3 linked regions of the Macaca fascicularis genome follow. The protein of the gene in region 2 interacts with the protein of the main gene of each other region in a biochemical or structural test. Links are inferred from orthologs where the notes say so. Each region holds a gene or a part of one and is shown on either strand. Other genes may lie near its edges.

Region 1 (2,360 bases), on a different chromosome or scaffold from region 2:
CTTTACTTCTTATCCTTTTGACAGCAGAACAGGGGGCATGGAAAACAGCATATTTCTGGTTCAGGAAAAGACCCTTGATTTTATGCATGACAGCATTGATGATGAGCAGAGACTGAGACTTTTAGTCTTGAATATTTCACTTGTTTTGAGCAAAAGTAGCCAAGACCAGTTTAAGGCCAGGAAAAGGGAGTAGTTAAGTACTCAGAGAGGGTTGAAGCAATAGAAGTTTTGAGAAGGCCCAATGGCTCAATGCATTTCTTTCTCTGCAGTATGCCACCACGGGCTGTTCCCTGACCCTGCACCATACGGAGAAACCAGAACATGAAGACATCTGTGAATACCGTCCCTACTCCTGCCCTTGTCCTGGTGCCTCCTGCAAGTGGCAGGGGTCCCTGGAAGCTGTGATGTCCCATCTCATGCATGCCCACAAGAGCATTACCACCCTCCAAGGAGAAGACATCGTCTTTCTAGCTACAGACATTAACTTGCCAGGGGCTGTCGACTGGGTGATGATGCAGTCATGTTTTGGCCATCACTTCATGCTGGTGCTGGAGAAACAAGAGAAGTACGAAGGCCACCAGCAGTTTTTTGCCATCGTCCTGCTCATTGGCACCCGCAAGCAAGCTGAGAACTTTGCCTATAGACTGGAGTTGAATGGGAACCGGCGGAGATTGACCTGGGAGGCCACACCCCGGTCGATTCATGACGGTGTGGCTGCGGCCATCATGAACAGCGACTGCCTTGTTTTCGACACAGCCATAGCACATCTTTTTGCAGATAATGGGAACCTTGGAATCAATGTGACTATTTCTACATGTTGTCCATGATGTGACTTTCGTAAACCATCAAAATTATTTGGGCATAGTGCTCTATGTTTAATAAAGGTTTTTATAGATGTTTTATTCCATATGTCTTCACAAGTCAGGACCCACAATTACCCGTGTTTTGTTTGAACAGCAGTTTCCCATCTGGCTTCAACCCAACAAAGTTCATTAACCTGGGATGAATGTGGTTGGCCTGTTGGTAATTTGGAGGCTGTTCTGTGATCTAAAATAACTCTTATTAAATTGTATTTACTCCCTAAACAACACTTGACAGGCTGTTGCACAGGGCTTCTATAGATCAGTGTGTCAGGAATGGGAGGCCCCTTCCTGCCTGCCTTCGCGTATTGGTCCCTTGACATTGACAAAAGCACAGTGACTGTCAGCAGATTCCTTTACTTTTGTTTGTGGGATGTAGGAATTGTTTTAATGCATTTTAAACAGTGTTTCTCAAATAGGATGGCTGGCTAATAGACACTGAATCACCCGGAGTGCTTATCTTAAAATTGCAGATTTAGGGAGCCTGCCAATTTAACAGTCTCATCAGGTGATTCTTTTCAGCAGTAATGTTTGAGAATTACTGGGTTAAATTGTGGGAAAGGGTCCAGATTTTAAAGGTGCTTTAAGGTTGCCCTCTGCCGATACTGTTTGTCTTTCTACTGTTTCATCCCCTAACCTCCCCCAACCCTCAAATTAAAACTAGTAGAACTATAGATCCACATGAACACACGCCTGAGATTTGGTCACTCACCTATGTTTTGGGTGGATTGCCTAGGAAAGAAAGTCATATGGCCATTGATAGTTCTCATGTAATTAGTTTTGCTCACCACTAGTACAGATGACCCGTTTACACATGGCTTCCCTCGGAAGCCCTCGTCGACAGTAGCTGGTGTGAAAGACGAGGTCAGTAGAGTTGGAAAAGCTTTATAACCGGTGTGTCATATGCTTGCTATTTAAAGCTGTGTGTTGGTTTTGTTTTTCTGCCACATTCACTAGTTTTTTAATAAATATTTTCCAAAAATGGATGTTGTGCTTCATTTCCCTAATTGAATAACGGGTATTTATTGAGCATCTACTGTGTGCAAGTGCAGTGAACCTTCATCACTACATCTGGGGTTGGAACTTTCACTGTTTCCACTGTGGAAACAGTCACTGGGCCAAGTCATGGCGTGGGTCCATGACAGCACTGGGGTCCGGGCTCACGTGTCTGAACCACTGAATGTCAGTGCAGCAGGTCTCCTCCCAGGGCTGTCGTTTCTATCTGATGGTGCCAGTAGCTGTGCAAGAAGAGGATTGCTCCTGCTTTACAGAGTCAGAAGGAAGACGCTTGGCCAGTGCTGACATCCAGAGTGCTAGGGTTGATCCATGGTGACCCACTGCCTCAGTCCCAACCCTAAACTCTCAAAAGAATTGAGAGGATTAGGGCCAAATGCTCAGCAAGGATTGAAGGCTGCTTACTTCAGTGTCCCAGTTTCCCTTTTTTGTTGTTGTTGTTGTTTTTGTTTTTGAGACGGAGGCTGGAGTGCAATGGCATGATCT
Region 2 (4,111 bases):
ACAGGCCAGAACATCAGTGGTTCTCAGTCTTCTTTCCACCCCAACCCATCTGAGGGATTCAACACCTCTCCATTTATAGAAGTGACGACAGTCTGAAAACGTCCCTCAGGTGATTCTAAGACACTACCCTAGAAGCTGTTCCCGTGCTGGTACCCTCTAGTACACTACGGCAGACTTATCTGAGGTTCCACACAGCTCTACAGTCTGCAACTTTAGGTACAGGAAAACTATAGTAACACTTCAATAGGAGCTTAGGAAGAAAGGCCAAAAGTTAGTATACATCTTCATTTGTTGGAACATGAAAGATTCAAATAAGAATGTCTATACTGATGACATCAAAGAAGAAGATGGTATAACTGTTCATATGGCAGGCGGCACAACTGACCTAGAATTGGCTTCTAATCAAGGAGGTAGATAAAGGAGGAGGAAAAATAGGGAATCAATCAAAATAATCACCCCTAAGGTTTGAGGAAACGGTCTGAATGTGTGATTAATGGAAAGACTTGTGTAAGTTAACTTGCCTGATATCAGAAAGGGAAGCCAAAGATGAACGCACAGAGATGTGATGGTATATGATCCCAATTTCTTCTCCAAAATATCGATTTGTCACATGTTTGATATCAATTCCATGTAAGTAATTTTTTTTTTCTGAACAACTCTATAAACTAATAACCAATAAATACTAAAAAGAAAAGATTTGGACACACACATTATAAATACAAATCAAATACACCAGTTCAGCATGGTGATTGACGAGAACTGCCAAGTATGGTATTTACAAACAATGTTCATATTTCTTTGAATATCCACTTACTGTGGACAAATTGCACAGCATTTAAACGCTATTGTTATAGTTGGGTATGGTGACTTGTGCCTGTAATCCCAGACTCTCTGGAGGACAGGAGTTCAAGACCAGCATGGGCAACATACTGAGATCCCCATCTCTTAAAAAAACACAGTGATAATTTAAAAAGCTCTTGTATGTGCAAAATCATGTGAAAAATTCTCACAACTAGGAAAGAAGGAAATAGAATTTGAAAACTTCCTTGGAAGATGTGCATTTTCTGATCCAAATGTGAACCAATATTACGTCGTCATTAATAAGTATGCAAGTTATGGTAAAGAGGCCGACTGAGGCTTCAAAATTAGGATATTTATATAAAACAACGTGTAACTGAACTATCTTCAAACAAGAAAACATTATAACTTAATAAATGCTGATGCTGATTGTTAACTGTATGTTTTACAATGAGACGACCTTTAAATGGGACAAAAAATAACAGGTGATCAACAGATTTAGAATTTGAAAATAAAAAACTGGCAGGCTCTAAAAGTTGCTGTCCTCTGTACCTAAAGATGCCACTAGTGGCTAGTCAGAATACAATGTGTACGTCACTATCACTCTCTAACATTTACTATTGCTATAATGGACTACTGGTCAAAAAAGTAGATAAAAATGTGGGCATTAATTTCTTCTGAAACAACTACAAAATACACTGACCATTGTTGCTTAACTTAGTGAAAAGCACTCCCTATTTAACAAACACATTCTCAATGTTCCCAGTGTGAACTGTAACTGTAAAACCTAAAACTTGGGTCAGTACACAGACCAACAAGAAATAAAAATGAACAGAAAGAAATGCCCGAATATCAATTCTGAAGGATGTTCGCTTCTGAAATGGTGGCAATAAATACTGTGAAAAAAAGACAATTCCACACACAGGGTTGAGATGGGTGAACAGTTGTTGGATGAAGATACATATTTCTTCCTCATTTTATACCCATGTGTCAAAGCATCAAAACAATCTATTTGCGACAGTTTATGTTGTGTCTCGAACTTTACATCTAAGTTTACCATGAGGGGCAAAAAAAACCTGTTTGGCTTGACTCACCGTGAATCACAGCCAGGAGGTCATCTTGTTGTGTATCAGCAACTATGTTTTCGCTACAGCTATGTGACCTGAAGTGGCAGCAGCAGAGGCACCAAAATAGAAGGGGCAGGAGCCTTCTCTTGGCTTCTTGGCCGCAAATGGGCTTTCCAGCCCATTCGGGCAACTGAGCAAGAGCCAACCGCAGAGGAGAAAGAACCAACCCGACAGCTCCGCGGAGAAAGGCTGCAGGCCCACCCCACCTTCCGTGCCCTCCCGGGGAGCCCGGGTAAGCAAGAACATAAAAGAGACAGGCTTAAGAAACAGCCTGGAGAAAACACAGCATGACAGGGGTCAAAACTAGCCTCATGGAGGGCAAAACCCAGCCGTGACCGTGAAGCACAGATTTCGGGGCGGTCTGGACGCGGAGGAGGCTCTCTACCCTGGGGCTCCGGGAGCGGCCCCGGCGCGAGCGCGCCACGGGCCCCCAGCCTTCAAGCTCCCCCGGCCGCCTGGGATCTGCCCCCGCTCCCACCTAACCTGTCCGGTGCCCGCTGGCCGGGCCCGAGCCTCCAGCTCCCTGCCCGCACCCCGGCCCACCCTTCCATCCCGTGCTCTCCCTGCATATCTCTCGGGACCACTGGCCGAGTCAGCGTGGGCAGGCGCCGCTGCCCTGCTGCCCCGCAGCCCCAGGCCCGGCCCCGGCACTCACTTTCTGAATCCGCTTCAGCGCCATGGATCAGGGATCGCGGTGGGGACACCGGCCGGCAGGGGTCGGCTGCGGGGCTCGGGGGCGTGAGTCTTCGCGAGTTGGGCTCGCTGGCAGCTCAGCTGGCTCCGCGCGGTGGGTCCCCGGTTCGCCGCTCCCTGGCTCGCTCCGGGCGCCGGTCCCTGCTCCGTCTGCGCCCGAGCGCGAGTGTGCGCGAGTGTGCGGGCGGGGAGGCCGGCGAGACTCTTTTGTTTCCGCTTTTGCTTCTGGGAAGGAGCCTGCGCCCTCCCCGCCGCGCCCCGCCCCGCCTGGCATACTGGGAAGTGTAGTTCCAGCCCTGTCCTCGGCCGCAGGCCCCCAGACGCTGCCAGGTTACTTGCTGCTGACCTTAGCCAGGCAGCTTAAGGTGAGAGCTGCCGGGTGCTGGAGTTAGTCTCTACAGTCTCATTTAGAGCAAGTTACTGAACCTGGGGCTGCGCATCTGTAAAATGGGGATAACAAATGAGCTCCTAACGCACATAAAGGAATTTCTAAATCATCAGTTAGTAATTCCTTATCCAATAGGTGCCACAGCTGGTTTTATTATATTTACCTTTAAATATTTCACTGTCTTTTCTCAAATATATGAATTATCTCAATTACTCACCCAGCACACATGCACAAACTCATATCTATCAGACCCCTTACTTACCTCCTTGGTTCTTACTGCAGAGGAAAAAGGTGTCTCTTCTGTCCAATGCACAGATCTTCCGTGTCTGAGTGCATTGTCTGCTCATAGGTATGCCCCTCCCATAAATTACCCGCTTCGAACACCGAGTTCAGAGCTCTCACTCCCATCGTTGACTCCTTCCCTTCCATTGACAGTCTCTGACTAATAGTCAACGCACACTCCCCACTCTCCAATTCCTGGGCACTTGTGTACCCATTAAAACTTGGCTTCTTGGCCGGGCACAGTGGCTCACGCCTGTAATCCTAGGGCTTTGGGAGGCTGAGGCGGGCAGATTACCTGAGGTTGGGAGTTCGAGACCAGACTGGCCAACATGGTGAAATCCCATCTCTACTAAAAATACAAAAATTACCTGGGCATGGTGGTGGGCGCCTGTAATCCCAGCTACTCAGGAGACTGAGGCAGGAGAACCGCTTAATCCCGGGAGGCGGAGGTTGCAGTGAGCTGAGATGGAGTCACTGCTCTCCAGCCTGGGCGACAGAGTAAGACTCTGTCTCAAAAAGGAAAAAAAAAAAAGTGAAAACATCAACAGATGTTGGTGATGCTGAGGAGAAAAGGTAACATTTATATGCTGTTAGTGGGAATGTAAATTAGTTCAGCCATCGTGGAAAACAGTTTGGAGATTTCTCAAAGAACTTACAACAAAACTACCATTTGACCCAGCAATCCCATTACTGGTTATATATGCAACTGAAAACAAATTATTCCACCAAAAAGATATATGTTCTCACATGTTCATCAGTACTATTCACAATAGCAAAGACATGGAGTCAACCTAGGTGCTCATTAATGGTGGATTGGATAAAG
Region 3 (3,524 bases), on a different chromosome or scaffold from region 2:
CTAACATCAGGAAATGAGAGACTGAGTACTTTCCTCCTGAGGTCAGGAAAAAGGAAAGGATATCCCCTCTCTCCATGCCTACTGAACATTGTACTAGAAGTCCTGGTTAGTGCAATAAAATAAGTGAAGACACATGAAAACTATACAAACTGCTGGCTGGGCGTGGTGGCTCATGCCTGTAATCCTAGCACTTTGGGAGGCCAAGGCAGGTAGATTGCCTGAGCTCAAGAGTTCGAGACCAGCCTGGGCAACACAGTGAATCCCTGTCTTTACTAAAATATAAAAAAAAATTTAGCCAGGTGTGGCAGTGTGCGCTAGTCCCAGCTACTTGGAAGGTTAAGGAGGGGGAATTATTTGAACCCAGGAGGTGAAGGTTGCAGTGAGCTGAGATCATGCCACTACACTCCAGCCTGGGTAACAGAGCAAGACTCCTTCTCCCAAAAAACAAAACAAAACAAAACAAAACAAAACAAAACAAACAAACAAACAAAAAAAACAGAAAAGAAAACTATACAAACTGCAAAGTATGAAATAATTAACTTTATTCTCAGATGACATGATTCTCTATGTAGAAAATGCCAAAGAATTGACATTAAAAAAAACTCTTCTATGACTAATAAGTAATTATAGCAAGGTTGCAATATACATGATTAAAACACTAAAGTCAATTTCTTTTCTATGTGCCAGCAATGAAGAATTGAAATTTGAAATAGAAAAAATCACAATAGCACCAAAAATAAAAAATAGGATAAACTCTAAAAAGAGATGTACAGAATCTACATGTGGAAATAATAAGCTTTTCAGCAGTGTTAGTTTTTAGGAAAAAGCAAATTAAAACTACATTGAGATACCATTACATTCCCACTAGAAAGGCTGTAACTAAACAAAAAAAAAAAAAAAGAAGGAAATATCAAGTATTAAAAAGGATGTGAAGAACCTAAAAACTTTTTATATTACTTTTTATAAGCTTTTATATTGTTACTCATATAGAATGAGTAACGACTTTGGAAAATAGTACAACAACTTAAAAATTATACATAAACTTAACATATAACACTCTTAAAATCTACTCAAGATAAATGAAAACATGGTTGTATGAGGACATGTAAGTGAATGTTTACTGTAGCATTATTCATAATAGTCCCTAACTGGAAAATATTCATATAGCCACCAACTGGTGAATACACAAACATAACATGATTTATTCAGATAATGGAATAGTATTAGCAATAAGAAAGAGCAAAATGCTGATACATACTGCAATATAAATAAACCTCAAAATATTATGCTAAATTAAAGATGCCAGATGCAAAAGACTACATGTTGTATAATTCAATTCATATTGAAATGTCCAGAGAAGCCAATTCTATACAGACAGAAAACAGATTGGTTGCCAGGAGGTGGAGGTAGAAGCAGATATTGACTGTAAACAGGCATGAGAAATGTTTTTGATGTGATGGGGAAGTTCTAAAACGAATTTGCTCATGGTACAAAGAATCTTCTCTCCAAGCTCAAATTTTTACACTGCCTCTCATAAGTAAATAATAAAGGGAATTTCCTTTGCCACTCATACACTTAATTATCTCTGTGACTCCTGAAATGATGGGCATAAAAGGGGCACTGCCAGGCCAAAGGAACCATTTAATGTCACCACACAGAAGAAAGCCTAGAGACTGGGAAGGGAAGGAAAATCAGCCTCTGTGTTTTTCCCCTAATCTCATATGTAGGTGCTCCATCCCAAGTCTTACCTGCAGCATCTCTATTGATGACCCCCTCAACCTCCGCTGGAGATCTGAGATGAGCTTGCTGGCATCCTGCCTCTGCTGGACCAGCTGGTCTCTAGCTGCTGCCAGGTTATCCAGCACATTCACCTCACCTTCCTCCAGCTTTTGCAGCTCTCTCTGCTCCTCACTGTCCAAGATGACTCTCATTTCATTGAACCCTTTCAGAATCTTCTGTCTCTCGAGCTGGATATAATTCTTGAATGAGAAGAGAAGAGAAAGAGGCAGTCAGTCTGGCTGGTTGAAGGCCTGCTTTGTATGAGCCTGGGAGCCAGGATAAGAACTGTTTTCCTCAGGGAGTTCTCAAAAGGAATACGAGGCAAAAGCCAATACACAATTTCTGGTGAAGCCATGCTTTTCTATTTTTTAACCGGAACTCCTTCCAAAGCAATACACTCAAGTCTTTTATTGAGGCCTAATCTGAGACAAAATGTGATGCTTGGGTGAGGCTTGGATTATAGACACCTGTCCTGAACAACCTTGCCTTTCTCTCTCTTAAATCCCTCTACCTGGTCGGGCACAGTGGTTCACGCCTGTAATCCCAGCACTTTGGGATGCAGAGGTGGGCGGATCACGAGCTCAGGAGATCAAGACCATCCTGGCTAGCATGGTGAAACCCCATCTCTACTGAAAATACAAAAAATTAGCCGGGCATGGTGGCACGTGCCTGTAGTCCCAGCTACTTGGGAGGCTGAGGCAGGAGAATCGCTTGAACCGGGAAGGCAGAGGTTGCAGTGAGCCGAGATCACTCCACTGCACTCCAGCCTAGATGACAAATCGAGACTCTTGTCTAAAAAAAAAAAAAAAAATTCCCCTACCCAAACCACCTAAACAGGGAATCCTGGGTCTTTCCTCAGGTTGTTTACTGGAAGGATTGGAGCCTCAAACTTGATGACACAAATGGAACACAGGATTCACAGGAAGCATTTTCACAGGTATTTCCCTCCATGCCTTCACTTCCAAATATTGTGTTGATTTATGATATGTCTGCTCTCCAGCCCCCAAACTCCAACAAGGAAGGAATTAAATGAGACCTAATCATATGACTTCTATAATTGTTAATTCTAGCACAGCAAAGGGGAAGTGGTCTCCTTGTGATAGAGCCCAAGGTCCTGCCCAGATTCCTGTCTAATTATCCCTTAGGAGGTGTCTCCTCCTGCCTTCCAGACGGTTCTCTCTTGTCTGACGTCATCTTCCAGCTTCTCAGCTTCTTGATCCTCCTTTGTCAGCTTCTGCAGGGCTGCCTGCAGCTTTTCCTGTGAGAAAGAAATTATACCAGAGTAAAGTTATGAGTTTTCTCAGCACCTGGATAGAGGATAGCAAGGAAGAAATCGGATGGCTCTCAGAAGGGACTAGTTTACAGAAACAGTGAGGCTGGTGATTAGAACCTATGGCATGGGGGAAAATCTGAGGAGATGAACGTATTCTTTATTACTGGATGATGGAAGTTACCATCCCCTTATCAAGAGTAGCCTGATTCTTTTCCTAGAGAAAAAGCAGACCCTGCATTAAGGAAAGACTTCCTTTCATTGCCACTTTTGCCACATCTAACAAGACATGTTCTCAAAAACACCTTTCTTCTCGGAGTGGCAATTAAAGCTTATCTTACAAAGCAATTCTCCATTCATTCAACTTTTCCTTGCTAAAAAATGTACTCTTTTAAATAAAAGCAACGTGCAGCACTGTCCTTCAGGCTTCAGAAACTAAGTAAAGAGTTTGGAAAGAGATCACAGGGCTCTCAGT

Evidence for each region. The genes of interacting proteins can lie anywhere in the genome.
Region 1: the proteins of UBE2D1 (region 2) and SIAH2 form a complex in vitro, tested with the Homo sapiens proteins (3 studies listed by BioGRID). The link is inferred for Macaca fascicularis from reciprocal best matches to the Homo sapiens genes UBE2D1 and SIAH2.
Region 3: the proteins of UBE2D1 (region 2) and TRIM22 form a complex in vitro, tested with the Homo sapiens proteins (2 studies listed by BioGRID). The link is inferred for Macaca fascicularis from reciprocal best matches to the Homo sapiens genes UBE2D1 and TRIM22.

Annotation. Positions count from the first base shown.
Region 1 is NC_088376.1:53,592,199-53,594,558, reverse strand, and holds the end of SIAH2 (E3 ubiquitin-protein ligase SIAH2), read left to right. Parts: intron 1-269; coding exon 270-827; 3' UTR 828-1,842; downstream 1,843-2,360. UniProt on the Homo sapiens protein: E3 ubiquitin-protein ligase that mediates ubiquitination and subsequent proteasomal degradation of target proteins.
Region 2 is NC_088383.1:88,326,482-88,330,592, forward strand, and holds the start of UBE2D1 (ubiquitin-conjugating enzyme E2 D1), read right to left. Parts: upstream 2,801-4,111; 5' UTR 2,605-2,800; coding exon 2,581-2,604; intron 1-2,580.
Region 3 is NC_088388.1:68,342,080-68,345,603, forward strand, and holds part of TRIM22 (E3 ubiquitin-protein ligase TRIM22), read right to left. Parts: intron 3,038-3,524; coding exon 2,942-3,037; intron 1,980-2,941; coding exon 1,749-1,979; intron 1-1,748. UniProt on the Homo sapiens protein: Interferon-induced E3 ubiquitin ligase that plays important roles in innate and adaptive immunity.